Elephas maximus indicus: one gene and its partners. The protein of the gene in region 1 purifies or fractionates together with the protein of each later gene. This does not show direct contact. Links are inferred from orthologs where the notes say so. Each region holds a gene or a part of one and is shown in the gene's direction. Other genes may lie near its edges. The genes, in order: TACC3, VASP, CKAP5 and SLAIN2.

Region 1 (7,139 bases):
GGAACCTGCCTGCGCACCCTCAGACAGGCCCCTGGGCTCACCCCCACCCAGGCATGCGATCTGCTGGTGGCGGCACTTAAGCCACGCTTACCGAATGTCAAAGGCCTTCACGTAGGGGTTGGCGCTGGCCACACGGATGGTGAGGAACTGCACAGGCAGGTTCGAGTCTGGCGAGAGTTCGTGCTGCCGTGACTCTGTCACGGTCAGGTGGACGTCCTGTTGCTGAGCCACGTGGACATGGTACGTGGTCACCTTCATCACCCAGGTGTCCGTCACTATCACGCGGGCACCCGGTGCCCCGGTGGCAAACTTATCAATCCGCCGGAACTCCATGTTGACAGAGGAGGCAACGGCCCGCCAGCCTGACTGTGGGAGGGCATACCGTGCCAGTGTGCGGGCCAGCGGGTGGTGGGCCCACTGTTCACGCGACCAGTGGTAAATGAGGATGCACGCTGTGGCAGGGAGGGTCACTGCCAGCAGGAGGAAGAGCCCCCAGGCCTCTGGGGCTTCGCTGGGCATGTAGAGCCGCTTTTCCGAGGCTGCGAAGCACATGCCCACATAGTAGCCTGCAAGACAAGTGAGCTTCAGCGGAGATCAAGGACAGGCCAGGCCACTGTCCACCTCCCAGAGTGTCGACCAAGGGCCACAGTGCCCTCCCTGTATTTCTGAAGAGGGGGCACATGCTCCCCTGTCCCCCGCCCTGGGCCTGGCCCTCTGCCCTGGTCACTTGAAGCCTGGACAGCTCCCAGGGCAAGGCCAGCACCCAGAGCAGGTGTGCCCATTCAGTTTGGCGGGCCGCCTCAGTTCTCGTCCACAGTGTTAGTGCGCTAAGCCAAGGGCAAGATGCTTTAATTTACTGTATCAGTTTCACAAGAGTGATACATGAATACCAAAGAAATTAGGTAAACCGAGAAAAACAAAAATAAACACAATGACTTGGTGTCGCTGGACCCAGAGGTGACCAATGGCTGGCCACAGCTCAGGCAGCAGCTTTGGGCCCAGGCCATTGTCTCTCAGTCCCATTCCCAAGGATGCAAACGGGAGAAAGGACCATTCTGAGCTCCAGAGCAGGGACGGGGCACACACAGCACCTGGGACATCTGGAACCACGAAGCCAATTAACGTAAGTGATGACGCTGGTAACAGGTTGAGTTGGCAAAAAGTAACCAAAGCCAAAAAACCAAAACCGTTGTCGTTAAGTTGATTCTGACTCACAGCTATCGCATAGATCAGAATAGAACTGCCCCGTGGAGTTTCCAAAGAGTGCCTGGTGGATTTGAACTGCCAGCACTTTGCTTAGCCGCCATAACACTTAACCACTACGCCACCAAAAGGTAACAGTAAATGTATCATCTGAAATCACTAAGCTTCAAAAAACTTGAATAATAATAATAGTAGATAACTGACAGAACGATCCCCAACAGCCCGAGTCTTGGTTTCACTGGGTCCTCCTGGGGTGGCCTTGGGGACGCTCGTGCTCCTCAACATAGCCCCTTGTGCTGAAGGTGCAGTTAGAGGGCAGCTGGGCTGGGGTTTTTAGTCCCCAGAAGCAGAAACCCAACCCACAGCCCTTGTATGGGAGTGATCTTGTCAGGGGTGCCCCTCTTAGCCGTGCCCTCCTCATCTGGAGACCGGGCTCGCAGCATTCCTCCCTCGGGGCTGCTGCACTCCTGGAGACCTGGCTGGTCAGGGGCTCCGGCTGAGTGAGCAACTATGGTCACTGGGCTACGAAACACAGGCGCAGCTTGCCACCCCATCTCTGGGGCCTCCCTCCTTCCTGAGGGCAGCCCTGGCCTCACCGCCTTGAGCCTCTCTGGTTGGAGGAACCACGCCATCCCCACCACGACTCAGGGGCTGGGGCGGGCATCAGGACTGGACTGGTGGTGAGGGGGCTCCAAGTCCCAGGCCTCTACTCCTTCTGGCCATCCACCACCCACCTAGCCCTCTCCTCGAGCCCTCCGGCAGTACAGGCCCCACCAGCCCGTCTCCGCACACCACGCTAGGGAGGCTGACATGCCCACAGCCTGGCTGTCTCTGCTCTTTCCACCCCGCACCTGCCTCACCTTTCCAGACCAGGCCACTGTGTCCTCCTACCAGCAAGACAGATACCCTTGCTGTGTCCGTGGTACTGCAGACATGCCTGCCACCAGCCATCTGCTCCCAGACCTGTTTACGCCTCCAGATTCCTGATGCCCCGCTGGCCCCTGGGTAACATCCAAGTGTCCTAGCCTCACATCCGTGGCCTTTCCTGGGCCTCTGCATCTGTGGTTCCCCCAACCTGGGACTTTGCTTCCCACCCCACCTCTGCCTGCTCTCCCTACACCCAGAGCAATGCTACCTCCTCTACGAAGCCCTCCAACCCTTCCTGTTGGAATCAGTTCATGAACCAGTGCCATTGTCCTGGAAATTGCTCCCCCACCCCCCTTCACTGAAAGCAGCAAGTTGGCCCATGGGTGTGGTGGCGGCACAGCATCTGACCTAACTTTACAAGACGGGAAGAGAATCAAGATAGTCCAAAGCTGAATCCTCCACCTTCTCTCTCCAACTTCTTACCAATTCTGACACCAACCGTCACTTCCACCGCACTCTCTGCTGAGTTCCATAATTTGTTGTGATGGCCACACGGTACTCACAGACAATACTCACGATTATAGAATTTATTAGGGAAGTAGCAGGTTACGATTCAGGAGCAGAAACAGCTTGAAATAGTTCTTTTGTCATGACAGCTTTTCAGCGATGCCCACAGGCGTGCCTCTGCCTAGCCCTTGGCCTCTGCCCTGCTCAGACGACTGTTACAAAGCTCTTCAGCTCCACCAGTAAGTGCCCAGGAGCACCCCACTCGGCTAGCAAGCGTCGGCACAAAGGCACTCAGCCTTCTCGTTCAACGACACTCAACATTCTTGTTCCATGGGCCCGGAAGCCCACCCAGCTCTCTCCTGCTGGGCTCCTGCTTCTGCTGCCTCCGCTTCTCTTCTCTCCGGTGTTACATCTCCTCAGTCTAGGAGATTCTCAGCACAGGGATCCCAAGTCCAAAAGATGTGCTCTACTCCTGACTCTTCCTTCTTGGTGGTTGTGAGGTCCCCTACCTGATCCCAGTTGGGCCAAGACACTCTTCCCCCAAGGTTCCAGACCCGGCTTCTGTCACTTGCAAGCCAGCACAAAGTTGTCACACTGCATCTCCGGTGTGGCCACTGTAGCCACTAGACAGGCACCCTTTTTCCAACTCTGTAAGAAGCAGACCCCCAAGCGGCAGACACAAGAAGCTCCACTCAGAACTCCCCAGAACAGTGCCCATCTAAACGCTGAGGTCACCCTCTTCTCAGGTGGCCCCAGCCAACACCTGAGCAAGACTGTGGTCCTGAAGCCTGGCCATTTTTCCCCATCTCAGGCGCCTAGGGTGCCCCACTGGGCAGTCCACGCTGCTCCCCTGCCTGAGCCCGCTTCCCCCCTGCTCCTTTCTCAGGAACCCTATGCACGACGAATTCCATCTCAGCGTCTGCTTCCTGGAGCCCCCCTCACTCCAGGCATGCAAGAAAGCAGGTGTTGGTGGGGACTCTCAGGTCCCCTCCCGCCAGCAAGCTGATGAGCTGCTGTTGCAGCACCACACAGGCTTTGAGGCCACCGTCCCCGTGGCAGAGGAGAGAGCTGTAGGGAGCCTGGGTCACTGGCACCTGTGAAGCCCCCAGAGCAGCCCTGCACTGACTTCCTGCTGACCTCTGTTACGGAACAGAGAGAGAGTCCACCGTGCTTAAGCCACATTTAGGGGGCAGGAGAGATCTTAGTTGCACGAACCCAACCCCATCCTCAACCAACGAGCTCAGAGCACAGAGAACCTCTCCCAGGAGTCCTTTTCCCTTAACAAGTCACAGAGGCTGGACTGACTCCTGACCTCTCCCACCAGGAAACAGGCCGGGAGAGGCCGGAAGGGCCTGAAGACTCGGCACTGCCCTCAGGTCCTGACCCAGACCGGACACACCGCTTCGGAAGAAGTAGAACTGACCCCGAACCTGACAGACGACAACCAAGCAGAAACGTGGGGACCCTGAAAGCCGTGTCAGCCTCGGTGAGGGTGTGCGCCTGCAGACACTGGGAGTCGTGGGGTCGGGGCCCCAACCCGCGCCGGGCCGGGCCACCCGCCGCCGAGAGGCCGGCGGGGAGCGGGCCCCAGGCGGGGCAGGGCCAGGGGGCCGGGACCCAGCGCACAGCGGGGCTGGAGGGGCCTGGGTGGGGAGGTGGCCGTCTCCGGGAGCGGCCCGGCCCGCCTCACCGAGCGGCAGCAGCGAGTGGCACAGCAGCGTGGCGGCCGTGCGGCGCAGGTGGTAGGGCACGAAGGCGGCGTCTTCGCTGCCCAGCCATCCAGACAGCAGGTTCTGCACGGTGAGCCCCGCCGAGTGGAACTCGTTGGGCGTGAACACGAAGCACACGGCGAAGACCAGGTAGGCCAGGGTGAACGTGACCTCGGGGCTGTCCATCGCGAGGCCCAGGGGAAGCCGCCCGAGCGAGGCCGCCGCCGCCGCCGCCGCCGCCGCCGCCGCCGCCGCCGCCACGGGAAGAGGCCTGAGCGACCCGCCCCCGACGTGTATCCGTCAGTTGTGGCCACTGCCGCCAGGCCGGCCGCGGGGAGACCTGGGAAATGGAGTCCCCGCCGCCCGCAGAGCACTCTGGGAGGTGTGTTCCGGCCTCCCGTGGCGCACCCTGGGGAGCCCGCCCACTGCCCAAACAGTCGCGAGGTGTTCTGGGAGATTGAGTTCCTGCCGTCCGTGGGGCACTATGGGAGACGGAGCCGCCTAGGCAGTCCCATCGAGGGTGTGGTCCGTCCCCACGGCCCGTCCTGGAAGTGGCGCTGCATCTAGGCTCATTTTACAGCTAGGGAAACTAAGGCCCGAGCAAGTAGCTCCCAAGGCGCGGCACCCCTGTGCCGCGCAGCCCAGTCGCGTGCCGGCAGAGTCCGAGATCCTCGGCGCTTTGGCGCCCCGCAATAACCGCCCGTCGGGTCTCCGCGGCAGGAAAGGGCCATGCGTGGACGTGAGTGGGGAGCCGACCTCTGCGGCCGTGGACGCTCCCCCTACCCACTTCCGAGAAGCCCACCCGCGGGCATCCATTCACTTCCGCCTGTTTGGCGGGACCCGGGTCCTCTCAGCCGGGACGTCTCCGAGGGCGCCCGGGTGCCCCGCCCACGGCCCCAGCGTGCCCCTCGCGCAGGAAAAGGAAACGCCCTGAGCGCAGGGGGCGGGGCCGGCGAGATGCGGCCTCTCATTGGCTCCGCATCCCCGTGCTCTACCTGCCCGCCTCCCGCTCGCGCTGATTGGCCGCGCGGGTCAACCGTCGGTATTTGAATCCGCGGGGCGCGGCAGGCGGCTGAGCTCCGGCTGGGATCGCGGCGGTGCCCCGGGTTCGGCGACCTCGGCGGAGCAGGCGGCTCTCCTCTCTTTTCTCGCTGCGAGCGGCGGGGTGCGGGCCCGAAGCCCGGCGACGGGCAGACGGGCAGGTAGGCAGGCAGCCGAGTCGGGGTCCCCGCCCCGAGCGTGGTGGGAGGAGTCCGGCCCCTGGCAGGGGGAGGCGGCCGGCGGGCTGGAGGCGTCCCTGCTCCGGGGAGGGCCGCGGAGGCCTCTCGGGCGCCGTTCCCTACCGTCTCCCGGCTGGGGCCGGCGCGGGCGGCGTCGGACGTGATTCCCCTTTTGGCCTCTGCACTTGGGGGCCCAGCGGGCCTCTGCTTGGCCAGCACTTCCCACGGAAGCTTTCCCTGACCCTCGCCCCCGTGTCTTGGCCGCCCGAGCTCGCCGCGTCTGAGCCTCTCACCGCACCGTGTCGTTGGGGCCCCCTATCCGGCCCTGACCCAGCCAGGGGCCCCCTATCCGGCCCTGACCCAGCCAGGGGCCCCCTATCCGGCCCTGCCCCAGCCGGGGCCGTTCGGGCGGGCTCTGACCCCAGCCGGGGCCCTTCGGGAGGGCTCTGACCCCAGCGCCGAAGGTTCGCGTTTTGTCCTGCAGTCTGCGTGCTGCGGGTGTTTGGCTCAGGTGCAAGCGATAGCGAGGATCCGGGGAGTGACTGCGGGGGCGGGGAGCCTTTCCCGCCCTATCCCTTGCTTGTTACCAAAGCCGGCAGTACTGCAGCCTCTCTTTTCAGCCCTATTACTCTCCCTCGGCTTCCCCGGTCTCTTATTCTGCCCCCAGGTCTGTTACCCGCCTTCCCCCACTGCTTCATCGCTTCCCAAACCTTTAACATCTGCCTCTCAGTCGATGATCTTCCTTTTGGGTCGATAAGACCACGGAAGCGTTGGAAGAGAACGTGCAGCAACTCCCGCGCTCCCTGTATCTGCCCAGGCTCTCTGCCTTTGTTTCTGTGGGCTGGAGGAGCTAGCATGCTGGAGCTCACGCCCCACCTTTTTTATCGTTCAAGGCTTTTGTTGTGCATTTATTATCGCTTCAGTCTTTCTCACTGCTAGCCAAGCCCTGCTGGGTTCTTCCATTAGAAAATACGTGACATTTGTTTCTGGAATATACCACCACAGCTGCTCATCATTTTTTTGTTCTTTTTCCTTGCGGTACTTACCAGGATATGTCTACATCTGTCTCCACAGCTTCACGCTTTTCCCTTGAGCCCACTCTAGTCAGGCTTTTGCCACTGCTAGCCCAGTAACGCACTCTTGCAGGGGTCACTTGCATGTTGGTAAATCCCTGTAACTCTCGGGCCTCATTTTGTCTGGCCTGACCTGGTCGCTGCCTTGGAGTTGGATGACTGCTTCCTCTGAAACCCTTCTTCCACCTTCCTCCTGAGCCCCGGCTCTCAATGGGCCTCCTGTTTTAATGACCACTTCGAAAAGTCTCCTTCAGAAAGTCTGCGTATTAAGGCTCAGTCCACGGGCCTCTTGTTCTCTTTCTGCACCGTCTCCTTGTGTGCCCGTTCCATAGATGACCTCATCCAGCCTCAAACAGCATCCATAGGCTGCTGACATGAAAATTCAGTCTCCCGTACAAAAGTCAGCCTGCTGACTCAGTGCCCCCCACCCCAGGTATCTGAAACAGGATTCCTAACCCCTAGCCCCCTCCCTGCTTCCTGCTGTCCCCTCCAGCTCTGCCATAGCAGCTCACCCTCCTTTTCAGGCCGTCATTTGTGCTGCTTCTTCCCATCCCCAACAT
Region 2 (8,161 bases), on another chromosome or scaffold:
TTTGGGTTTTTTGGTTTCTAAGGGCTGAACGAAGTGCAGAGACCCCGAGGACAATATCCTTGAGAACCATCTAGGTCTTGGACAGGAGAGTTGTGAGTTGGACTCAGGTAGCTGCAGAAGAGAAGTAGTAGGTAGTGAAGCATAAATTAAGGTGTGGGGGCAGGAGTCAGGGAAGAAATGTGAAGGAGAAAGCTGGAGCCAGAATCCAAAGGTGTTTACCTGGTAGGAAAGGGAGGTTGGTTATTATCTTTTGGATGACGGGGGATTGCTGATAGTTTCTAAGCAATGGAAGGAGGTCTTGATCAGAATTCTTTGGGTTGTAAGTGACAGAAACCCAATTTAACCTGTGACAGCAAAACAGGAAATTTATTGGATCCTGTAATTGAAGCATTCAGGGACTTAAGGTATAGCTGGATCCAGCTCTCAGATGTTGTCATCAGGAGTTGTCTCTTAGCTTTATTTTCTTTGAGTTGGCTTCATTCCCAGGCAGGTCTGGGAGGTAGCAGAGTTGCAGCTTCAGGCTCACATCCCACCATCTTACCATCCCCAGTGGAGAGAGGGCACCAGTTTCCCAGTAGTTCCAGCAGTCCTCCCATAGCAGGTTCTCATTGGCCCAACTGAGTCACATGTCTGATCAGTCTCTGTGTTTCTGATTGGTCTGGCTAGGGTCACATGCCCACCTTTAGCACTTGGGGTTGGGGCTGCTCCAGCCAAACCTCATGGATTGAAAGACTGGGGAATGGTAGACCCTCAAAGGAAATATGAGTGCTGCTTCCAGACGACAGGGAAGTGGATGCTGAGAGGGCGAGAAGGGGGTTCCCATTCACCATTTCCCACATTTTGCATTACAGAAGGGGCACGGTAGGACCGGAAAGCCCACCAGCCTCCATTCAAGTGCTGCCTTGAGCTTGGAGGCCTGACAGCTGTCGTCCTTTGGGGATCCTCCACTCAGCTGGGGGCCCCACGCAACTAAGGAAAAAAACTGACCCCTTCCCCAGCTCAGAGGACCAGCGGAAGGAAGATAGCCCATGGAGGAACTTCAGAGTGCTTATTCTCCTTTCTCCTAGTTCCCTCTGACAGAAAATCTTACATGAGGGGGAAATTCCACACACCATTCAGACCAAAAAAACCCCCCAAAATTTTGAAATATTTACAGCTGAACAGAACCAGAGAAATCACTCAGTTCAATAACCTTCACTTTCCTTCCCATTTTTATCTGTTTAATTTTTTTTTTTAAATTGGGGCTGGTTAGAGTTCTTATTAAATTTTAATTACTTAAGTAACTTCAGACATATTTTCCTTGTAGAAAACATAAACAAGATTTACCTAGTTAGTTGGCAAATCAATGTAGGGCACCTGCTGTGCCTGAGGCCCTGCTTACAACCTTGAGCAAGGCCAGCTGAAAACCCTACCCCCATGGGACTGACCTGTAATAAATAAGGTCATCTTAAACACTGACAAGTATCCCAAGGAAAACAAAACAGAGACGTGATAACAAAATGACTAGGGGCCCTACTTTGGTCTTTAAAATTGTTATTTGTTTTTTGAATGGGTAATCAATTCACTCGGTTCGAAATTCAAAGGATACAAAATGGTGCACAATGAAAAGTCTTTTTCCATCCCCCACCCTCAGCCACTGAATTTTCCACCTCAGGGTAGTGTTTTAGACAGGGGCCTTAGGGAAGGCCTCTGCAGAGGGAAAAGGGGACATTTGAGCAAAGATCTGACAGATAAGGAGCTAGGGGTACAAATACTCCAGGGAAAAGTGTACCAAGCCGAGGGAACAGCCAGTGCAAAGCCCTGTAGGCAGGATCAAACTTGGCATTGCCAGGATGAGGCTTGAGATCTTTATGACCAATGAATTCCTCACATTCCTGCTCCCTATTTCACTGGTAACTGTTATGGATTGAATTGTGTCCCCCCAGAAATGTGTGTCAATTTCGCTAGGCCACAATTCCCAGAATTGTGTTATTTTCCACCATTTTGTCATCTGATGTGATTTTCCTATGTGTTGTAAATCCTGCCTCAATGATGTTAATGAGGCAGGATTAAAGGCAATTATGTTAATGAGGGGAAACCCTGGTGGCATAGTGGTTAAGTGCTACAGCTGGTAACCAAAGGGTCAACAGTTTGAATCTGCCAGGCACTTCCTGGAAACTCTACGGGGCAGTTCTGCTCTGTCCTATAGGGTCGCTATGAGTCGGAGGGCACTGGGTTCAGTTTTTTGTTTTTTTTATGTTAATGGCGTAGGATTCAATCTACAAGATTAGATTGTGTCTTAAGTCAATCTCTTTAGAGATATAAGAGAGAGAAGGGAGGAGAGAGACATGGGGACATCATACCATCAAGAAACAAGAGCCAGGAGGATAACATGTCCTTTGGACCTGGGGTCCCTGTGCTGAGAAGCTTCTCTACTGGGGAAGATTGATGTCAAGGACCTTCCACCAGAGCTGACAAAGAGAGAAAGCCTTCCCTGGAGCTGGCACCCTGAATTCGGACTTCTAGGCTCCTAGGCTGTGAGAGAATAAATTTCTCTTTGTTAAAGCCATCCGCTTGTGGTATTTCTGTTATAACAGCAGCACTAGATAACTAGAATGGTAACCAAAAAGGAGTGAATTTTTCTAGGTCTTTTGCTCTGCATGTTGTTGTAGGTCCTGTGGAGCTGATTTTCGGCTCACAGCAACCCTGTGTGACAGACAGAGTAGAACTCCCCCATAGGGTTTTCTCGACTGTAATCTTTAAGGGGAAGATCGCCAGCTTTCTCCTGAAAAACGACTGAATGGGTTTAAACTGTCAGCATTTTAGTTGCACCCCCACGGCTCCTTCCTCTGCATGTACACACATGTTTATGTTCCTCTCACAAATATATGGCATCTTTGGTATTTCCTTGATTTTTTTCGTACCGGTAACTTGTTTTGTCACTCAACAGCATCATAGAGATCTCTTCCATGCAATTACACACTCCATTCTTTTCAGCTGATGCCCAGAGGAGGGCTATGCAATGGTTTAGCTATCCGTCCCTCCTTTGATGGCCTTTAGGCTGTTTCTAATTTCCTGCTCCGACAGCACTGCTGCCGCAAAGACCACTGAACAGGTTACTTGTGCACATATGCAAGGGTTTCTCTAGTGGAGGGGTCTTGCTACCTATTTTGTAGTGGTACTTGAGCTAAGAATGGAGCCTTGGTGGCTCAGTGGTTAAGAGCTCAGCTGTGCTAACCAAAAGGTTGCAGTTCGAATCCACCAGCTGCTCCTTGGAAGCCCTATGGGGCAGCTGTACTCTGTTCTATGCGGTCACTATGAGTCAGAATCGGGAACGAGTTTGGTTTTGGTTTGAACTGAGAATGGTTTCTATATTTTTAAACGGTTGTAAAGAAAAATATGTGAAAGCGGACTTACGTGGCCCCCAAAGTCTACAAGATTTACTATTTGGATCTTTACAGAAAAAGTCTGCTGACCCCTGGCACCCAGAAATACTCACAGATGGAAAAGCAGAGACCCAGAGAGGAGAAAGGACTTGACCAAGATCCCACGGAACTGAGGTCCTAATTCGATTGCTGCTGAGTCTGGCAGGGCTGGGTGAAGCCTAGAAATCGATCAAGTATAACCCTGCCCCCAAAGAACTCCCACCTGGAGAAGACACACGGAAGAACAATTACAAGCTAGGTGGATCAGGGTTCAGGGTATCCACAGTGGGGTGGAGAAGGGGAGGGGGTTTACTCGGTGCTTCAGAGAATTCCTTTCAGGGCTTGGCCTAGAAGGTGAGGTGCTCCCCAGGTGAAGGAGGGCAGCAACAGGGCATCGTCGAATCTGCTGGGTCCTGAGAAATGTTGGTTTTACACTCACACCCTGGGGCTCCGGCAAGAGGGCCATAGCCCAGATACGTTCCCTGCCTCCAGGCCTCAGTCTACCCATTTGCACGCATCTTAGTGAAGATTTCTCAGGCTCCAGGCCCTCCTGTAAGCACTTCACCCGGACAAGGTGGCACTCTCCGGGGGGCGTGGCCGCGCGGGGTGACGTCACTTGGGCGGGGCCTGCGGGACTCGCTGCGGAAGCCTCGGAAGAGGTCCGGGCGCTGCGTTCTGCCTTGAGCGGGCGCTTGGGAAAGGGGGACCCGAGGAAGGGACACCTGGGCGTCTCCCCGCCTCCGGGCCCCCTAGATTGCTGGGATGATCCCTCCATCCTCCGCAGGAGAAACTGAGTCATGGCGGGGCGTGCGTGGGGAGGGGCCCACACAGGAGCCCGGCGTCGCATCCCTACCCCAGGCTAGCGCCGCTCCCCCCACCCCCGCCCGTCTCCCCAGCCCCCACCCCCCTCCTCACCCCACACCCCGACCCTGCGGCTGTGAGTCATAGGCCGGCCGCGCCCCCTCGGACCACTTCCTCCTCACCTTCCCGGGGCGGGCGGTTAGAAGGGTGGGACCCTAACCACCCATCCCCCTCCTGTACGGGATAGGGGACTCACCCCCCCAGTAACCCCTCTCATAAACAGAGAAGACAGAGACGTTGGGGGCTCCGAAGGTGGGGTTTAAGGGACAAAATTTGAGGGAATCTGTGTTTACCCAGAGGGTCCGAGCCCTCGCCCCCCAAAATTTAGCAACATGGAAAGAAATGGAGAAGTCAATGGGGAGGACGAGAGGGGAAAAATTGTGCCCGTTTCGATCGCCCTAAGAATTTCCATACTGGGGGAGACATAGGGATCGTGAAAGGATCCCTTTCCCTTCTACCGAGCTACCCCCCCAATTTTTGGGTGACCCCCGGAGTGCACCCCTATGCACTCACATTGAGGACAAGGAAAATAGCGGAAGTCAACGGTGCCGCGTTGCCCTTTTAAGCGCCCTCCACCCCCAGCCTTGAGGCAGCCGCGGCCCCTTTAAGGCGCGGGGCATTGTGGGTGCGGGGAGTGGAATTTTGGAACGAAATGTAGCGAAGAGAAGTACAGTAGTAAGAGTAACATTGTAGCCGCTGCCGGCCGAGGGGCGCGCCGGGGAGGGGACGCCGCACCCCCTTTCTGCCGTAGGGACCCCCATCAAACCTCAGGGGGAGAAGGCGACCGAGGACCCGCTTCGGCCCCGGCCACATTCCCCCCAGGAAGCCGGACTCTATGGGGCGGGACCCTGGGGGAGACTGAGCAGAACCTGGAGCCAGCCCCGAACCCCTGAACAGCGAGCCAGGGGCGCCCCGGGAGCCTTCACCCCGTGGGCGCGCCACCCGCCAGTGAGCAGCCATGAGGTGAGCCGCGAACTGCAGCCCGACCCTTCCCCGCCCGGCGCGGGCTCCTCGCCCTGCCTTTGTCCCCCCTCCCCCAGCTCGCTTGGGGCTGGAATTTGGGGACCGGGTGCTAGGAGCCTTAGATTTGGGGCCGAATCCCCTTGGACGAGCTTCAAATACTGGCCACCTCCCCCAGACTCCTAAGGTTCGGGGTGATGCCGGTGAGGTTCTCCTGGGAGCCCTCGCATTTGGGGGCGCTCCGGCGGACTCCCGAATTTTAAAGACTTTTTCAGGGGACCTCTAAGTTGGCGAATTCTCTCCGCAGAGATGCCAGAATTTAGGCAGACCCCAGAATCCCCCCAAACCTCAACTCGGGGTATGGGAGGGATCGGCTTGGGGACTCTGGAGCCTGGGAGAGAGGCAAACACGCAGACCCCTGTTAGCGGGGTCCCCTTTTACGTGGCGCTGGAAAAGTCTCCCCAGTTGGAACCGCGCTTCCTAACTTCAGGGGTACGTCTTAATCCTCTAAATTTTGGGGGGGAGGGACACTAAGATCCTCTTGTGGAGGAGGTCAGTTCGGACGGACTGATGGACCCAGACGCAACCTCGAGGGTCTGGCTGGGACTCCCCTCCCGCGCCTCTCTGCACCCACAGGGTTCCCGAAACAGGCCGTGCCTAGGACAGAGCGAGCGCTCTGTGCGGAGGGCGGTTCCCCGCCCTCAGCCAGCAGGGCGGCCCTTCTCCCCCACCTGCGCGGCCCTAGAGAGGGAGGGGGCGCGGCAGCTGGGGGAAGGGGGGCCTTTGTCTTTCTGACTCACCTGTCGAGACAGCTGGTGTGGGGGGCGGGCAAAGAGCGCGTTGGGCTGGCAGCTCTCCTCACCCCGGTCCCTTACCTACCCCCCCTCTCCCCGCAGCCTTGCCGGGCCCTCGGGAGCTGTGGGGTTGGAGGAAGGGGCGCAAGAAAGCTTCAAGGTCATAGCCTTCTCCCCCTGGGACCTAAGCTTCCCAGAGAGTTCCAGTTATCTTCCCAAGAATTTAATCCTGAGGGTGAGGGGCCAAGGCACCCAGGGATTGTGTCTTCATGAGGCCTCCCCTAAAACTCCCGGGCTCACCTGAGGGTGGGGCTAGTGCGGGAGCTGGGCTAGGGGAAGGGACTCACAACCCTCCATAATCTCTCCATTGGGGCTGGAGCCTGACAATACTATCTCCCTTCCTCCACTCTCTCTGGGACTTCCTGCCCCAAAGCCCCCAGCCTAAGGGGGAAGGCCCCAGGGGACTGCTGGGGATTAACCCCCTGGTGCCCGCACACTCCCACTTCCCCTACACCCCTGCCTCTGATATTCGGGTGGCATTCCTTTCTATGACCATTAGAGAACTCTCTTCCCGATTGTTCCTTCTGCTGGGAAAGGGGTTGTTGGAAAATTCGGAGCAAGGGGGCACCCACAGACATCTTCGAGACTTCCTGTCTAGCTTTCTCCCTGTTATAGCAGTATCCCTTGAGGTCTGCCCTGGAGAGGGGGCAGTTTGCGGTCTTCCTTCACCCTCTTCCCCTGGGACGGGACGCTGCTCTCCCACTGCCCCCCCCAGCCCCGCCTCTTGTCCCCCCCAGGCGCGTTTCCGGTCCCAAGGAAGGCGGATGGCGGATGTCCGAGTTAGTGCTGCCTCACTCGCTGTGAGACCGTAAAAGGGCAGGAGCAGCTTCTGGGCCGGCCTCCCGCCCTACCCCCAGCCCCGAGGCCCTGGCCCTCCCACAGGGCCCCCTCTTGTGATGGCTGTGGCCAAACCTCCCACCTCCTGGGGGGTGGGCAGAAGTTGATCCTATCCCACTAGAGGGTCACTCCCACCTCCTGCAGGGTCTCCCTTTCTGGGCTCTGCCCCCTCTCCAAGGACTAGGATTCAGGAGAACCATGCCTCTATTCCCAGCTGGGGAAACTGAGGCTCAAAGAGAAAACCATAGCATAAAGGCCCCTCAGCAAATCCTAGACAATTTGGGGGTGGTGGAGTAGGGAAATGCTGGGATTCAGTCCTCTGATTAGGCTGGTTAGGCTGGGAACAGTCGATGGGCAGTTGGAAGGAGAGGATATTAACATGGAAAATTACAAGATATATTTCTTTTTCTCCCAGTTTGACAAATATTTGTTGAGTGTCTCCTGTGTGTACAGAACTCTGAGCTGGAATTCTGGGAGGGCCGAGAAGAGGGGAAGTAGTCTGAAAATCTCCAGGCAGAGTGGATTCAGGAAGAATTTGAGCCCATTTTTTCCCTCTTCCAGTAATAGTAGTTGTTATTATTGTTATTTAAGAAAAGAAAGAAACATTTGCTCAAGCATCTGCTCAGTACCAGGCACAGTACTAGGGCCTGATTCAGTTTAATCCTCCTCACAGTTCTAGGAGGTTAATGTCATTACAGCCCTCCCAGTTTACAGATGGTAAAACTGAGGCACAGAGAAGCAAATTTCCTGCTACATCAAACAGTTTGAACCCAGGCTGTCTCCAAATTACTATATGCTATAAAAAAAAAAAAAAAATTTTTTTTTTTTTTTATTAAAGAAGGAGGGACATTAAAAAAAACTTTTTGTAAATACAGGTAACACATTTTCGCTCTAGGGACACTTAAGATGAAGCAGATAAGCAAAACGAATTCAGGCAGGAAGCTTGACCTTTCTGTACATTTATGGGAAACTGAGGCCCTTGGAGGAGAAGGGACTGGAATGAGGCCACACAAAGCACCACAGGCAGGGCTGGGACCCTGGTTCTGGTTCCCTACCCCAGGGTTGCTTCAACTCCAGGGTGGAGTTGAGAGGTCACAAGTTTTATGGTATGAAGTGGCTATGGGATAAGTCGAAGGGGGATGAAGGAAAGGGCAAGACTTCAGTCTGGAAGGTTTGAGTAAACCGGAGTCATTGAAGTGCTTGATTACCCTCAATGATGGGAAGCTCTCTCCCTCCTGTTTTGGC
Region 3 (7,815 bases), on another chromosome or scaffold:
TGTAGTCAATTGCCAAATCCTCCAGTGTCTCTTGAATCTCTTTGCATTATTTCCACTACCATTACCTCATGCCAGTGTCCTAATTGGGCTCCTGTTTCTCAGCTCTAACCCATTTTAGACAATGAAGCTAATTAACTTTCCTAAAGTTTAGTTCTGATTGTGTCACTCCCCTTGCTCTGAAACCTTCAATAACTCCTTATTGCCTACTGAAATACAAATTTCTCACCCTAGCATTCAAGGCCTCCAAGACCTGTTCCCATCTTCTCTGTATATCTTGTGTCCAACTACTTTCCAACATGAAACTTGTCCTAAAATCAAACCCACACATTAATTCCTCTATATAAAATGCACTTACTTGTCTCTGTCCCCTTGCTCATACTTTTCAAGCTACCAGACATGTTCTCCCTGTCTCTTCTATTAAGAAAAGTAACATGTTAATGGTAAAAAATTTATTTCCCTCCCTACTAATCCTGCTCTTAAGTTTCTTGTAATTCCAGGAATGTTCTAACCATTTTCAGGCATGTACACAAACACACATTCATTTATAACATACATAAATCATTCCATATATGCTTTTCTGCAACTTGCCTTTTTTCAATTAATAATTGCACATTTTTCTGCATCAGCATGTATAGATTAACCACATTCTATTGAATGGCTATACCATAATTTACATAACAAGTTTCCTATTGATGGACATGTAGTTTCCAGGGTTTTTTTTTTTTTTTAATCGTAAGCAGTGCTGCAGTGAACATCCTTGTACATTTTCTTTGCATACTTGCATAGATCTATAGAATAAATTTCTAATGGTCACATTAGATTTTAATAGTTGCCAAATTGTCTTCTGAAAGTTTGCACCAGTTGTATTCCCATTGCATTAATAATTGATACAAGGCTGATTCTCCAAATGTGAAGATAATTCACATCCCTGCATTCCCATTTCTTCATCTCTGACACCAACCACCCACATGGCATTTTCTCTCTCTGCCCCTAACCACCCTGAGTTAAGTCTTTACAAAATGACTGCCTGCACAGCCCTCTTCTGTCCACCAGCCACCCAAGGCTGGGGTCTTTACAAGTTAGGACTCTATCCTTCTAATCAACTGCCAAAAAGGCAGGCTCCAGGCCCTGTTGGCCCTCATGACCCAGGTAGGTTCAATAATTGCTAGAATGGCACACAAAACTCACGGAAAGGACTATAGTCACTAAAACTTTTAATTATAACCACAAAAGGATATACACGAACAGAGGCACAGGCAAGGTCTGGGAAGAGTTTTTGGCACTGAGCTTCGTCCCCAAAGATGTGCCAGTCCAAGGCCTAGGGTCCTTTTTAATAGTCATTGGGACCTCAGTGTATATGTGTGATGGAGTCTTAATGTATAGTCAATGACTGATTGAATTACTGAATATGCATGGCTGCATAATACCCCTCTCCCTTCCAGAAGTTATTTCGATTGGTGTGGTCTTTGGCCTCCCACCTCATCGGCTTATAGTGACCCTATAGGACAGAGTAAAACTACCCCATCGGGTTTCCAAGAAGCGCCTGGTGGACTCAAACTGCTGATCTTTTGGTAAGCAGCTGTAGCTCTTAACCACTACACCACCAGGGTTTCCTGCACATGTTTAAGTGTTGTCAAACACTTAAACAAATCTGTCTTGGAAGAAGAATAGCCAGAATGCTCCTTAAAAGAGAGGATGGTGAGACTTTGTCTCACGTACTGACACATGTTATTAGGAGGGACCAATCCCTGGAGAAGGACCCTCATGCTTGGTAAAGTAGAGGGTCAGCAACTAGAGGATGACCCTCAACGAGATGGACTGACACAGTGGCTGCAACAGTGGGCTCATACATAGCAATGAGTATGGACCAAGCAAGCAGTGTTTTGTTCTGTTGTACATAGGGTCACTATGAGTTGGAATGGCACCTAACAATAACAACAATAAGTGTTGCCAGACTGTTTTGGAAAAACAACGGCACTTTGATTGCTTGAGAAATTCCAAGGGCTATTTTCAGGAATGAGAGACAAAATGCCAACTCTTTGTTCCACACACCCACCAACCCTGTGTTTGAGTGTCTATTTCTCCAAATCCTGGCTAACCCAAGGTTATTAAACTTTTTCATCTTTATCAAGATTTTTGAAAGATTTTGATAGCTCTGATTAAAAAAAAGTATTATTGTGGTTTTAATTTGCTTTTACCTATCCCCTCTCCATTAAAAGCCTACTGGTAACCTGTTTATCCTTCAAATCTCAGATTAAAATTTCATCTCCTTTACAGATCCCCCACCCAGTGGTGTCACTAGGGTTGGTTTCACCTAGTGCGATGACTCATGGTGTCACCCCCCCATGCTAATTACCACAATATTGTAGCTAAAACACCAGAAAATTGACAAAATCAGTCACTATAAAAACACCACCAGCAACAAAAACAACAGTGCATGCTTGTAGAGTGTGCAGACAAAACTATGTGATTCAAAGCTCACTGTAATTGGGTAATAATGACAGCTCTGACCAGTGCATTAGAATGTTCAAAAAGTAAATGAGCATAGAGTTTTATCCTTTAGGTATACTGAAACATGTAAGCTGGGCTTGTGAAAAAAAATTTTGTTGCTATAACTACAGGAATTATTATTATTTTTGTTTGTTTACAGCTCAAGTTTAGTTTCTCGTACAAAAATTTATTCACACATTGTTAAGTGACCCTAGTTGCTATCCCTATAATGTGACCACACATTCCGCCTTTCCACCGCGGATTTCCTGTGTCATTTCATCCAGGTCCTTATCCCTTTTTGCTTTCTCATCTTGCCTCCAGAGAGAAGCTGCACTAAGAAGCACACTCTTAAGGAGTGTCATTTTACGTCTTATAGTCCAGTCTATTCTTTGTCTGAAGAGTTGGTTTTAGTTCTGGGTTAACAGACAGTCCAGGGGCCATGTCTTCTGGGGTTCCTCCAGTCTCAGTCAAACCACTAAGTCTGGTCTTTTTCCTAGAATTTGGGTTCTGCTCCCCACTTTTCTCTTGCTCCGCCAGGGATTCTCTGTTGTGCTCCCTGTCAGGGCAGTCGTCGGTGGTAGCTGAGCGCCATTTAGTTCTTCTGGTCTCAGGCTGATGGAGTCTCTGGTTTATGTGGCTCCTTTTGTCTCTTGGGCTAATATTTTCCTTGTGTCTTTGGTGGTCTTCATTCTCCTTTGGCTCCAGGTGGGTTGGGACCAATTGACATCTTAGATGGCCACTTGCTAGCTTTTAAGACCCCAGATGCCACTCACCAAAGTGGGATGCAGAACATTTTCGTAATAAATTTTGTTATCCCAATTGACCTAGATGTCCCCTGAAACCATGGTCCCCAGATCCCCACCCCTGCTACACTGTTCCTCAAAGTGTTTGATTGTGTTCAGGAAACTTCTTAGCTTTTGGTTTAGTCCAGTGGTGCCAACTTCCCCGTACTGTGTTGTCCCTCCCTTCACCTAAGATAATTCTTGTCTACTACTTAGTGAATTCCCCTGTCTCTCCCTCCCTCACCACCCTCGTAACCATCAAAGAATGCTTTCTTCTGTGTTTAAACCTTTTCTTGAGTTCTTATAATAGTGGTCTCATACAATATTTGTCCTTTTGTGACTAATTTCACTCAGCCTAATGCCTTCCAGATTCATTCATGTTATGAGATGTTTCAAGGATTCATCATTGCTCTTCATCGTTGTAACTACAGGGATATTTTTAATAAAAACTCAAAAAGTTCTGCTCTAAACATTGCACAAAAATTTCAGACAGTCATTTTTGTGTTACTCCCTCTGACAGTGTCACCCAGTGTGATCTGCTGTGACTCCACTGCCTCAGCCACTGAATTTCTCCCTTCACTAAGCATTTACAGCTTTTCATTATACAGTTCCATACAGCTTTGAATTTTAGCGACTTTTATCTTCCTACCACTGTAGATTGCAAGTTCCTTGGAGTTAAGGACCTGATCTTTTTCACAGACATATGAATGTATTGCTAAACAAGAATTTTAGAGAACATATTAACCAAGCTTCTCATTTTTTAAAATAACAAGAGTATGGAGTATTTGCAAAATGAGTTACAGTTCATAAAGGCTTTTCCCAGACATTTTTAATTAGTTACATTAAATCCTCACACTAAGCTTGCAAGGGAAACATCGTGCTATCGATGTTTTTTTATTTCAGATTAGGAAACTAAGCTCCAGGAAGATTTATTAACTGAGTAATGTGATTTACTCAGTAATAGGTCCAAGACAGGGCCCTGGTGGTTAAGCCTTCGGCCACTATTCGAAAGGTCCGCAGTTCTAATCCACCAGCCGCTCCGTGGAAATTGTGTGGGGACAGTTCTACCCTGTCCTATAGGGTCGCTATGAGTCGGGATCAACTCGAAAGCATTTTTTTTTTTTTTTAGGTCCAAGACCAGAATCCACCGTCCTCGTCCCGTTCCACTACATCACATCCCAGCTGCTTCTCCTTTTCCTCATAGCACTTAGCCGCACAATCAATATTTTCTGAACGAAACGACTGAAAAAAAATGCCAGCTGTAGACAGCAGCTTAAATATCTGAAATTAAATAAAGCAAAAGTGCTGACAGCCATGGGTACACATCTCTACACACACCTCTCGTCCTTTCTTTCGGGATCGTGGGCAGCTTTCGCTCCAGCGAACCTCTCTTTCTCCTGGGAGTTTCCTCACCCCAACAGGCAAGGCACGGTCCCGAGGGAAACACGACTCGCGCGGCCCCTTTAAGGCTGCGGGCGGCGCGTGCCCACAGTCCTTTCAAATGGACCAATAGAAGGGCGATGGGCAGTCAGTCGAGCACCAATAGACAACGAGGACACTGCGGGGTGTGCGGCGGCCCAAGCGGTTTTAAACGGCTTAGAGCAGGCCCCTCGGTTCTGACCCGGCTGAGGTGAGTGGGCGGTGGTCCTGACCCAACCACACAGGCCCGCAGATCTCGGCGTCGCGCGCGCGGAGGGTCCCCGAACCCAGGTCGGAGGACCTCCGTGGGCGCGCGCCTCCCATGCCCCACGAACCCGGCAGAGCTGAGGCGGCGAAACGGGGCGGAGGCCCGGGGACCTGCGGCTGGGAGTGTGCGTGGGGCGCCGGCGTGCGTGTGCGACCGAGGCCGAGGCTGGGTTCCCGGTGACCGGAGGGGCGCGGGCGGCAGCACCCAGGAGGCGCGAGCGGCGCAGGGCCGCGGCTAGCGGCTGTGTTCCGGGGTTGGGGCGGGGGCCCTGCGAGCCGGCCCTGAGATTGTGCTCGTCACGTAATTGTCGAATGAATGAATGAGAGCCTGGGAAGACTGTGGTGGTTCTGAAGGGCCCGGTCGCCTCGGAGTATGATAAGGGCGGTGGTACCGGGGCCTGGCCGCGCACCTCTGTCCCTACTGGCTTGCTGCGATTTTAACGATTCTGGTCATTCACCGCTCCGGTGTTAACGCCTGACTTTCTCTAGGGCAGGAGGCTAAGCCTTTCAAAGGTGTCGATAGAATTTAGGTGGCTTTCCAGTTTTGTAGGGTTTGAGGACCAGTATAACAGCCAGCAGTGTAAGCTAATCAGGCCTTGCTAGTTCGGGGAGGGGGGGTGCTGGTAAACTACACTCTTACTTTTTAGCGCTTAACCACTCATCGACCATTGAGATAGTTACCCTGCAACCCTGGTAATTGTCAGGAAGAATTTAAATGCATCCTGTTTTGTTTCTGGCATAGAAAATGATGAAATTGGTGTTGCCAGGGTGTCCGCTGTGGGTTAGAAAATATACGTATTTGTCTCGATGAATCTTAATGAGTTTTTCGTTCAGTGTCTCTATAGGGTGAAGTGGTTTTTGCAGAACTTGTCCCACATTTATGCATGGCTCTAATTTAATTCTCGGGGGAACCAGGGCATCAAATCTTGGCCCAGAAATGCTGCCTGTCTTATTTTATGTATAATTATAGTAATTGAAAACTCATTTTTCGAAAGGTGAGCTCCTCCTTTCCCCATTTTTATCTCTCTGAGAAGTCCTTTTTTGACCTCACGAATAGCAGCTGCCAATAATTAAGCTAAGTTTTTTGAAACTTTTATGAAGTCATAAAATATTTGGACTTTCTATAAATTACTGGACAAAATGTATTGTTTTATAAAAATTAATGATATAGAAAAAAGTGAAATCGATTTCTTTTGCCAGCATAAATTAAACCTGGTTTGTAAATTCGTGAGAAAAAATTTTTAACACAGGTTTTCACACAGGCAATATTTATACTTTATTCTCTTATTACTTTAAAAGTCTTAATCATCAGGGTTGAATTATAAGGAGTGGTGTGAGGTAGTTCCACCACAACTAAAGCCTTCTACAACTGACAGCTCAATTTTAGCAGAGTTTTAAATTGTAATAAATTTGAGTACTTTAAATATTACGAACACTGGTCTAGGTTCTGAAGAAGCAGTTAAAAATAATGAGCATCTTTAACAATGCCTTCGGATAGTGTTAAAAGTCTTGACATACGGCCAGACTTTCTTTTGCTTCTTTGATTTAATGGGGTCTCATTCATTTATTCAACAAATACGGAGATTGATATCTACTATGTGTTAAACCTAACTGAAAGGTTGGTGGTTCGAACCCACTAGCCACTCAGTGGGAGGAGGATATGGCATTCTGCTCTCCAGCCAAGAAAACCTATGGGACAATTCTACTTTGTTCTATAGGGTTGCTATAAGCTGGAACCGACTCCATAGCACACAATGACAGCACTGTTCTAAACTCTATTCTAGGTTCTGGGAATACCCTGGTGATCCAGAAAAAGACAAAGCCCCTGACCTTAGGGAGTTTTACAGTTTTATCCCCCCAACAATTTATTGTAGCAAATTGTAATTTTTATAATCTCTGTGGCCCAGCTGTGGTCCTTGAACAAAATAAATTCTCAAATACATTTATTAGCACTAGCTACATTTTTTGAATATTCATTGGGTGCCACATTTTATCTTTTCTAATCTTCACAATGGAGCCCTGGTGGTGCAGTGGTTAAGCATTTGGCTGCTAATCAAAAATCCACCAGCCAGTCCTTGGAAACCCTATGGGGCAGTTGTGCTCTGTACAGTAGGTCACTGTAGGGTCATGAGTTGGAATTGACTTAACTAGACAGCAATGGGTTTGGTTTTTTTGGTTAATCTTCACAACAACATTTTACAGATGAGGAAACTGAGTCTTAGAAAGGTTATGTAACTTGTTCAAGATCATACAACTAAGTGACAGAACATCATTTTGAACCCAAGTTTGTCTACAGGGTCTTTGTAAGGCTCTTAACCTATAGTTAATGCTATGTGAAGTAATGGGGTCTGATAGGGACAATTCACGAGCAATTTCTGTGTAGAATCGCTCCTTCCCACACTTTTTTTTCTTCTATTTAAAGACATGATGAAGTATGAGTGACAGGCGCGTGGTAGTTTTTAGAGGGAAGATGGACACAGTTGAAAATACAGTGTTAGCAATATGGGAGATAGACAGCTGTGACAGTGTGGTGGGGAACTGGAGGGAGAATTTAAAATTGAAGTCTCAATCCAATTATAATTTATGAATTTCTGGTCGTCAGTTTTGGAGAGTTTTGAGGTTCTTAAGGGATTCTGGTGTTCTTTCTTCTAGAGTTCAGAATATGTTACTTAGTCCTATCAGGGCAGTTGTCGTTTGCTGTCAAGTCAATTCGGACTCATAGGCGCTCTGGTGGTGCAGTGGTTACGCTCTCGGCAGCTGACTGAAAGGGTGGTGGTTCAAAACCACAGCGTAGGAGAATGATGTGGCATTCTGTTTCCATGAAGATTACAGCCTAGGAAACCCTATGAGGTTTCTT
Region 4 (7,111 bases), about 49 Mb from region 1:
ACGCATCCCCTCCCTAATGGAGTCAGCTTTGCTCTTCCCTGAAGCATGCTGGGGATGAATTTGGGATGGACTCTGGCTAAGGTACAAGGCTGGGAGTGGCATGACTGGACTAGTGGCCAAGGCCGAAGAATGCCTTAGCAACAAGAAGGAAAACATCTGGGCCTGGACGTGAAGTCCCTGGGAACATTGACTGCCCCAGGACGTGGAAGAAAACGATGAGCCTTGGTCCCAGCTGGAATGGTATATAAGCTTGGGTCCCTTGCTAGGTGGTTGCGGAAAATGATCCAGCCGGCCGCCACTGGAGAGGGCAGCTGCTTGCCCCTGTCAGTAAGTTTCCCCGAATAAACGTATGAATCTAGAAAGGGCTATGTGTCAGTTCTTCGGATTATCTGCCAGGATGCACAGTGAGGGTCTTTCCCTTGCTGGGACTGCCCCCCAACACATGTATAGTATGACATGTTGCTCTTTCGAAAGAGGAAAATGTAACTTAAAAAATCAGCCATTCAAAAAAAACATTCAAAGTGATGAAGAATTTCCACTTCAATGATTTGAGACATAAACATGTTTACCTGAACCTCTGTTTTAGGAGGCTTCACTTGACCAGAACTCATTCATTCATTTATTCAACATTTACTGAGTACCTACTATGCGCCAGTCAGTGTTCTAGGCACTGGGGATGTAGCAGTAAACCCTATTCTCATATAGTTCACATTCTACTAGGAAAAGATAGGCAATAAGCACAGAAAGAAATGAACGATGTGTCTGATGAAAAATAAAAGCGATTAAGAGGGTGAGGAATGATAGGAATGCTATCTTATTAGGATAGTAACAATGAAGATGGTGAGCTTAGGGGGTGATATTTGAGCAGAGACCTGAATGAAGTAATGAAGTTAGTAATGTGAAAATGTGGTGGAAAAGTAGGTCCTTGATGGAGGGAATAACAAGTGCAAAATTTCTGAGGTAGAAACATGCTTGGCATATCTGAATAAGAAGGCCAGTGTGGTTGGAGTGAAGAGTGGGAATAAATGAGAGACTTGCAGAAGATTATCCCAAAGTTTCTGGCTTAAGCATCTGGAAAAAGAGTTGCCATTTACTAGGAATGTAAAGACTACAGGACAAGCTCTTGGAGTGTGCGTGTGCGTGAATCAGATGTTCAGTTTTGGACTTGTTTGAGAAGCCTATTAAATACCCAAGTTCCTAAAACAGTGCCTGCCACATAGTCCAAAAAGAACCCAAACGTGTTCCCGTCGAGTCGATCGTGACTCATAGCAACCCTATAAGACAGAGTAGAACTGCCTCATACGGTTTCCAAGGAGTGCCTGGTGGATTCAAACTGTAACTTTTTGGTTAGCAGGCATACCTCTTAACCACTGTGCTACCAGGGTTTCCTGCCACATAGTAGGGACTTGATATTTGTTGAATGAAAAAAAAAAGATGTAGAGTAAGGCAATTACAAAATACAAATATAGAAATCCAAGTAATCTACTACATATGTCTAGATATTTATCTAAGTATATTTACATTTATGTTTTGCAATGATGAAGATTCACCAATATAGTGGAAATCATCCAACTCCCACAGTCTGAAAAAGGTAAAGACCTGAGATTAAGTAGCCAGAGATTAAGACCAAGCAACATATTTATGATATAGCCAGAACCTGCAATCAGGCCTCCTGATTCCTTTTTTTTATTATTTTAGATGAAGGTTTACAGAATAAACCGGTTTTTCATCTTAGTACACACATTGTTCTATGACATTGCTCAACAAACCCACAACATCTCAACACTCTCCCTTCTCAACCCTGGGTTCCCTATTACCAGCTTTCCTGTCCCCCCTGCCCCCCACCTTCCAGTCCCTGCCCCAGGGCTGGTGCACCCCTTCAGTCTTGTTTTGTTCCATGGGCCTGTTCAACCTTTGGCTAAAGGGTGAACCTCAGGAGTGACTTCAATACTGAGCTGAAAGCGTGTCTGGGGGTCATACTCGCAGGGCTCCTCCGGTCTCTGTCAGGCCAGCAAGTCTGGTCCTTCTCTTTGAGTTAGAATTTTGTTCTGTATTTCTCTCCAGCTCTGTCCAGAGCACTCTACTGTGATTCCTGTCAGAGCAGTCAGTGGTGGTTGCCGGGTACTGTCTTCTTGTACTGGACACAGTCCAGAGGAGCAGGCCTCCTGATTCTTGATTCATTGTTCCACATTATATCCAGCTCTTTTTGCTCTGTGGAATCTTAGTGTTTAGGTTCATAATGTTGAGTGAACTATTCTTTTCAAGGAATATATTCGAAAGGTTCTTCTTACAAAAACTGGATAGTTGGAATTATTTTACAAACTGTTAAATGCATTAAAAACTGCTATATATGAAGTCATCATAATGATTAACCCCCTGGCAACTAGTTTAGATGTGTCAGAGACAGCAATGATATTTAGATGTGCATTATATAGATAATACATGTGGTTATTAAGTGCTGTTGAATCAGGAGAACATTATCTATAGTTAGCCAGCAAACTTAAAATACTCAATGTGTCTCTTGCTACCAATAAACATCCATGTGATCCTTGACCTGTAAGAATGTATATTCTATTTAACTTCCGACATACCAGGTACCGAATGTCTATTGTGTCAGACATTATTCTAGACATGGTAAACAAAATGAATGATCCCTCTTCATCAAGTATACAGACAAAAACAAACTTAATTCCTAGAAAAAGAAGCATTTTTTTTTTAATTGCAGACACCTATTGAAAACTGTTGATCAGGTAATGCTAGAAAAAAACCAACCAAAAAAAAAAAAAAAAACGTGGCATTGTCAGGAAAGGTGTCTTGGTTGGGTAAACATGGGTTTTAAGAAAAGGATCAGATTTGGCAAGTAGGATATTTTATTAAAGGACAATACAGCATAGAAAGGCTCAGAGTAGAAGAAACTAATTCATGTCATACAAATCCACGCCCTGGTGTAGTAGAACCGGATCATTGTTAGCTAAGGGCGGAGGAGGCAATTGAAGGAAAGCTGCAAACAGAAGCCAAGTAGTTCACAATGGACAGCTAAGAGAAATGCGCAAATCATTTACTTTTTTTGGTTTGTTTTGTCGCCAGTTGTGAGGCAGATTTTTATATTCATATATCTCTCCGCATTCTTCAGTATCTCTCAAAAGATTTCTTAAGTACTTTTAATACCCAATTTTGAAAAAATGTCGACATTTGAAAAAGTTTTTCTGCAGAAAACGATCCAAAGAGCAGAGTTAAAAAAAAAAAAAAAAAAACCCAGTGAGTCCATTATTTAATGGGAAAAGTCTAAAAAGAGCTGCCTTCTATGGCTTCCCCCTCCCCTATGCTTCCGAGTCACAGGGTGCAGTTAAACTTTAAGTCGGGAAAACTACGTTTTATTCGATGAGATAATACCTTTAAAACGCTTAGCAGAGTGGCCCGTACTAAGCACTCAAGAAATGGTAGTTATTATTATTTTGACCTTAGACCTCTTAACCGTTTGGTATTTTGTTTCCTCACTTTAAAAGAAGACAGGGATCACAGATCGTTTCTAAGGCTCCTGTCGGCCCTGACAATCTCCTGTTTCAAGTAGGCATCGAATAAACACTTGCTGAACTGAAAAAGTAAACTCTCTCCACGGGGTTGGGCTGAGTGCCCACTCGAGAACCAGCCGCGAGGTGGGGCAGGATCGGCCCGCGGGTATCACACGCCGGTGTTTGGCGGTGAATAACAACACGCCCACCATCCAAGACCGAATGAGCAGAAGGCGGGGCTGAGCAAGGGTCCTCGCTCGTGAGCTCAACCCCACCCACAGTCAAATCCGCACTCATCCCTGGCCGCGCCCGGCATATCGCAACCGCTCGGTTCCCTACCGATAGCCCGAGTCACTTACCCAGTGGGCGGGCCCCGTCCCACCTCCCCAGCCCCACCCCTTCCGGGCATAGACCCGCCCACCCACTGCCCCGCCCACCCTATGACCCCGCCCATGGCCCCGCCCCGCAGCAAGCTCGGCGCTCCGTCCTCTCAGAGTCCGCCCGCGGCCGCGTCCATCCGCGACGCTCTGAGGTCACCGACGGAGCCGGACAGCAGGGGGCGGAGGGACGCAGGGAAGATGGCGGCGGAGGCCGGATATTGGCGCCGCCTCCCACAATCCTGGAGCCGGCGCAGATGAGGCGGCTCGGCTGGGGCCAGCGGCGCTTCGGAATACGAGCTGGGGGGACCCTGGTGGCGGGGCCTGGACCTGCTATATGCCGGCGCCTCGGCTAGAGTGAGCGGCGGAGGCGACACCTCTTTCCTGCGGCTCTCTCCCTGTCGCTGTGAGTCCGAGCGGGTGGCGGGCGGCGGAGTGGCGCGGCCGGGATGGAGGACGTTAACTCCAACGTGAACGCGGACCAGGAGGTGCGGAAGCTGCAGGAGCTGGTGAAGAAGCTGGAGAAGCAGAATGAACAGCTGAGGAGCCGCTCTGGGGCGGTGCAGAGCGCCGGCCCCCTCGGGCCCGGCAGCCCGGTTCGGGCCGGTGCGTCCACTCCCTCCTCCGGCACTGCGTCCCCTCGGGGCTTCCCCTTGGGCCTAAGCGCCAAGTCGGGCTGCGGGGCCGGCTCGGGCCCGAGGCGGACAAGTAGCGAGGAGCTGCGGGATGCCTCCTCCTTGTTGGCGGCGGGCGAGGGCGGCTTGCTGGACGAGGTGGAGCCGCTGCGGCCCGAGGAGTTGGAGCGCTTGTCAGGCTGGGAGGAGGAGGAGGAGAGCTGGTGAGTGCAGGGCACCGGGCCCGGACTGGGCGGGGATGGGCCGGGGGTGTAGAGCGTCTTCCAAGGGTCTCCTTGGTGGAACGCCTCGCTTTGTGTAGCGGGATCCGCTTTCTGGCATACTCATGGTCTTGCCTTGGCTGCGAAAAGATCGGCCGGAGGTGGGGATTCGAGGGGTGGGCTAGGAAAGAGGCTGGTAGGTAGTTTTCCTCTGGGCTGTGGACTCCCCGAGTCCTGGACCCCGTCGGGGTCTTTGCGTTGACATAGCCGGAGAAAGGCTTCTCCCCATGGGTAGAGTCAGAAACGAGAAATTGCTTTGTAGGAAAGAATCGTGCTTTGTGTGAAATACCAGCCTTCGGGTGGTGGCCGGGGCATTTTGGATTTCAGGGAGGGGTCTGCTGGATGAGGTACCACCGGTTGCGGGGGACAGACCAGAGTCGTCTACCTCCGTTTAAGTGGTCAGTGTTTTGGACCAGCGTGAGGTGGGTACATTTCTGGCAGGGATAGGGAGACCGTGTGAATCAGCATTCCCGTACGGGCAGTGGGGTAAAGCTTGCTTTGTGTGAAGAGGGCAGAAGAAGGTGCTTCTTTGTGTGAAGAGTCAAGGGTGGAATAAGACCCTTATTCTTTAGTTTTTAAACAAGAATCGGGTTTGGGAATTTTTCGGAGCTGCGAAGTGACAGTTGTCACATCAGTCTTTCCATGTCGTCCTAGGGGCAGAGAAAGAGAGTCCTATTTTAAAATCTAAACCAAAGCTGTATTGTCATAAACCACTTTTTGATGAAATTGTGACCCACAGCTTAATATCACTTACCTAAATAGAAAGGCTATGGAAGGCCTTTTCCATCATATTTTATTGCAGTCAAACAAAGATGCCTATGGGAAATTCTTTTTCTTATCCCTTTTTAGAGTTTGAATTTTTAACTACAATATTTCTACTCTTTGTTGAAATGGAAACTTCTAACTTAGTGAAATAAAAATCCTTCGTAGGCTCTTGGTATTGCAAGGCTCGATTGAACTTTGTAGTGTACTAAGGTAGTTAAGAGCTTCGCATTCACACCAACCTCAATTCAGGCCCTGGCTCTGCCTCCCTTACGAGCTATATGACCTTGGGCAAGTTAGACCGAGCCTCACTTTCTCCCTGTACTTGTTGAAGAAAATAATAGTTCTTACCTCTGTAGAGTTGTGAAGACTAAGTGAGGTAATGTGTGTATGCTTTTAGCACTGAGTCTGGCATATCATAAGCTCTCCAAGTCTAGCTGCTATTATACTTAAACCGAGTTATTTAAATCAAGACGTATTTAATGAACTCTTATAGGATTTCGTTGGAGATTCTAAACATTCATAAGTGTTGATCCCGTTTCTTGAAGTAGTTCAGTCTTGTCGGGAGCTAAGTTTTATGCAGTTAAATAGGCTAGGACATATACGATGGATAAATTGCCAAAGGAATGCTAGGAACAAAAAGTACTGAGAGTACTCAGAAAGTGGGAAGAGAATAAATAATTCAGAGTAGTTGGGGCAGACTTTTGAGAAGGGGGTGGCTTTGGAGCCTGAGGGCGGGAAAGAGTGAGAAGGCATTTTTGCGCTGACAACTGCAAGAGGGGAGTCAGAGGTATTTGTATAACTTCCAGTTAAGACAATTTGAATGACAGAGGTACCCTGGAATATGTTATGTCACGCTTTATTTTATTGCGAGGTGACACCAAATATTATTAGAACCGGCTATGGTAGTGACAGTTTTTCATATTGGTGTGAAATCACGTCCTCCCAGAGGAATCCTGGGCGTGTATACACTGTAAAAGGACTCAGAATCATCTAAATGTCGTCACATGCCTTTTCTAAGTGATGATGATAATGATGCTCTTACCAATGAAGGTTAGCTGCACTCATGAGCCCGTTTTAGATTCTGTATTATTAGAACACATTGACTCCATTTGGAGAAGCTGATGAAGACTTTGGCTGCTTTGATTTTTGAGCATAGGGTTTGTTCAGATAAAGCAAGTCTTAGATACTATGACAGAAGTTTCTTTTGATTCCTGCTTACTACCTTGATCCTGGCTTCATATCTTGATATTATAAGTTTTGTGTGAATAAAAGTTTGATAAGTCATATTTGTTAATTAAAAGTTTGATAAGTCCTATTTGTTTTGGGGTATGTGTTTGGGGCATAAATTGGATGGAGATGGGTGTCAGGGATGGGGAAGGAAGGTTCATAGAGTAAAAACTTTTTATTTGTTAAAAAGCTGTATATCTCTACCTTTCTATATCTTCTACCCAGTGTAACTTTTTCATCTACAGGAATGTTTTTCCCCAAGTGTCTACCACAAAATGCTGGTTCTGAATGTGTCAATAGATATTACCTGAAAAATAATGGTGGGTTCTGGGGTC

Evidence for each region.
Region 2: the proteins of TACC3 (region 1) and VASP purify together in Homo sapiens (co-immunoprecipitation; 3 studies listed by BioGRID and IntAct, with this or other methods). This does not show direct contact. The link is inferred for Elephas maximus indicus from reciprocal best matches to the Homo sapiens genes TACC3 and VASP.
Region 3: the proteins of TACC3 (region 1) and CKAP5 purify together in Homo sapiens (co-immunoprecipitation; 5 studies listed by BioGRID and IntAct, with this or other methods). This does not show direct contact. The link is inferred for Elephas maximus indicus from reciprocal best matches to the Homo sapiens genes TACC3 and CKAP5.
Region 4: the proteins of TACC3 (region 1) and SLAIN2 purify together in Homo sapiens (co-immunoprecipitation; 3 studies listed by BioGRID and IntAct, counting the BioPlex papers as one, with this or other methods). This does not show direct contact. The link is inferred for Elephas maximus indicus from reciprocal best matches to the Homo sapiens genes TACC3 and SLAIN2.

The regions. Positions count from the first base shown.
Region 1 is NC_064823.1:160,028,133-160,035,271, forward strand, and holds the start of TACC3 (transforming acidic coiled-coil-containing protein 3), read left to right. Parts: upstream 1-3,894; 5' UTR 3,895-4,063; intron 4,064-4,267; coding exon of another isoform or gene 4,268-4,472; exon of another isoform or gene 4,473-4,532; intron 4,533-4,778; exon of another isoform or gene 4,779-5,488; intron 5,489-7,139. Other genes in the region: TMEM129 (E3 ubiquitin-protein ligase TM129), read right to left, coding at 92-566, 4,268-4,472. UniProt on the Homo sapiens protein: Plays a role in the microtubule-dependent coupling of the nucleus and the centrosome. Involved in the processes that regulate centrosome-mediated interkinetic nuclear migration (INM) of neural progenitors.
Region 2 is NC_064829.1:104,186,867-104,195,027, reverse strand, and holds the start of VASP (vasodilator-stimulated phosphoprotein), read left to right. Parts: upstream 1-4,897; 5' UTR 4,898-5,223; coding exon 5,224-5,228; intron 5,229-8,161. UniProt on the Homo sapiens protein: Ena/VASP proteins are actin-associated proteins involved in a range of processes dependent on cytoskeleton remodeling and cell polarity such as axon guidance, lamellipodial and filopodial dynamics, platelet activation and cell migration.
Region 3 is NC_064825.1:102,292,532-102,300,346, reverse strand, and holds the start of CKAP5 (cytoskeleton-associated protein 5), read left to right. Parts: upstream 1-4,812; 5' UTR 4,813-4,902; intron 4,903-7,815. UniProt on the Homo sapiens protein: Binds to the plus end of microtubules and regulates microtubule dynamics and microtubule organization. Acts as a processive microtubule polymerase. Promotes cytoplasmic microtubule nucleation and elongation. Plays a major role in organizing spindle poles.
Region 4 is NC_064823.1:110,843,386-110,850,496, reverse strand, and holds the start of SLAIN2 (SLAIN motif-containing protein 2), read left to right. Parts: upstream 1-4,073; 5' UTR 4,074-4,338; coding exon 4,339-4,727; intron 4,728-7,111.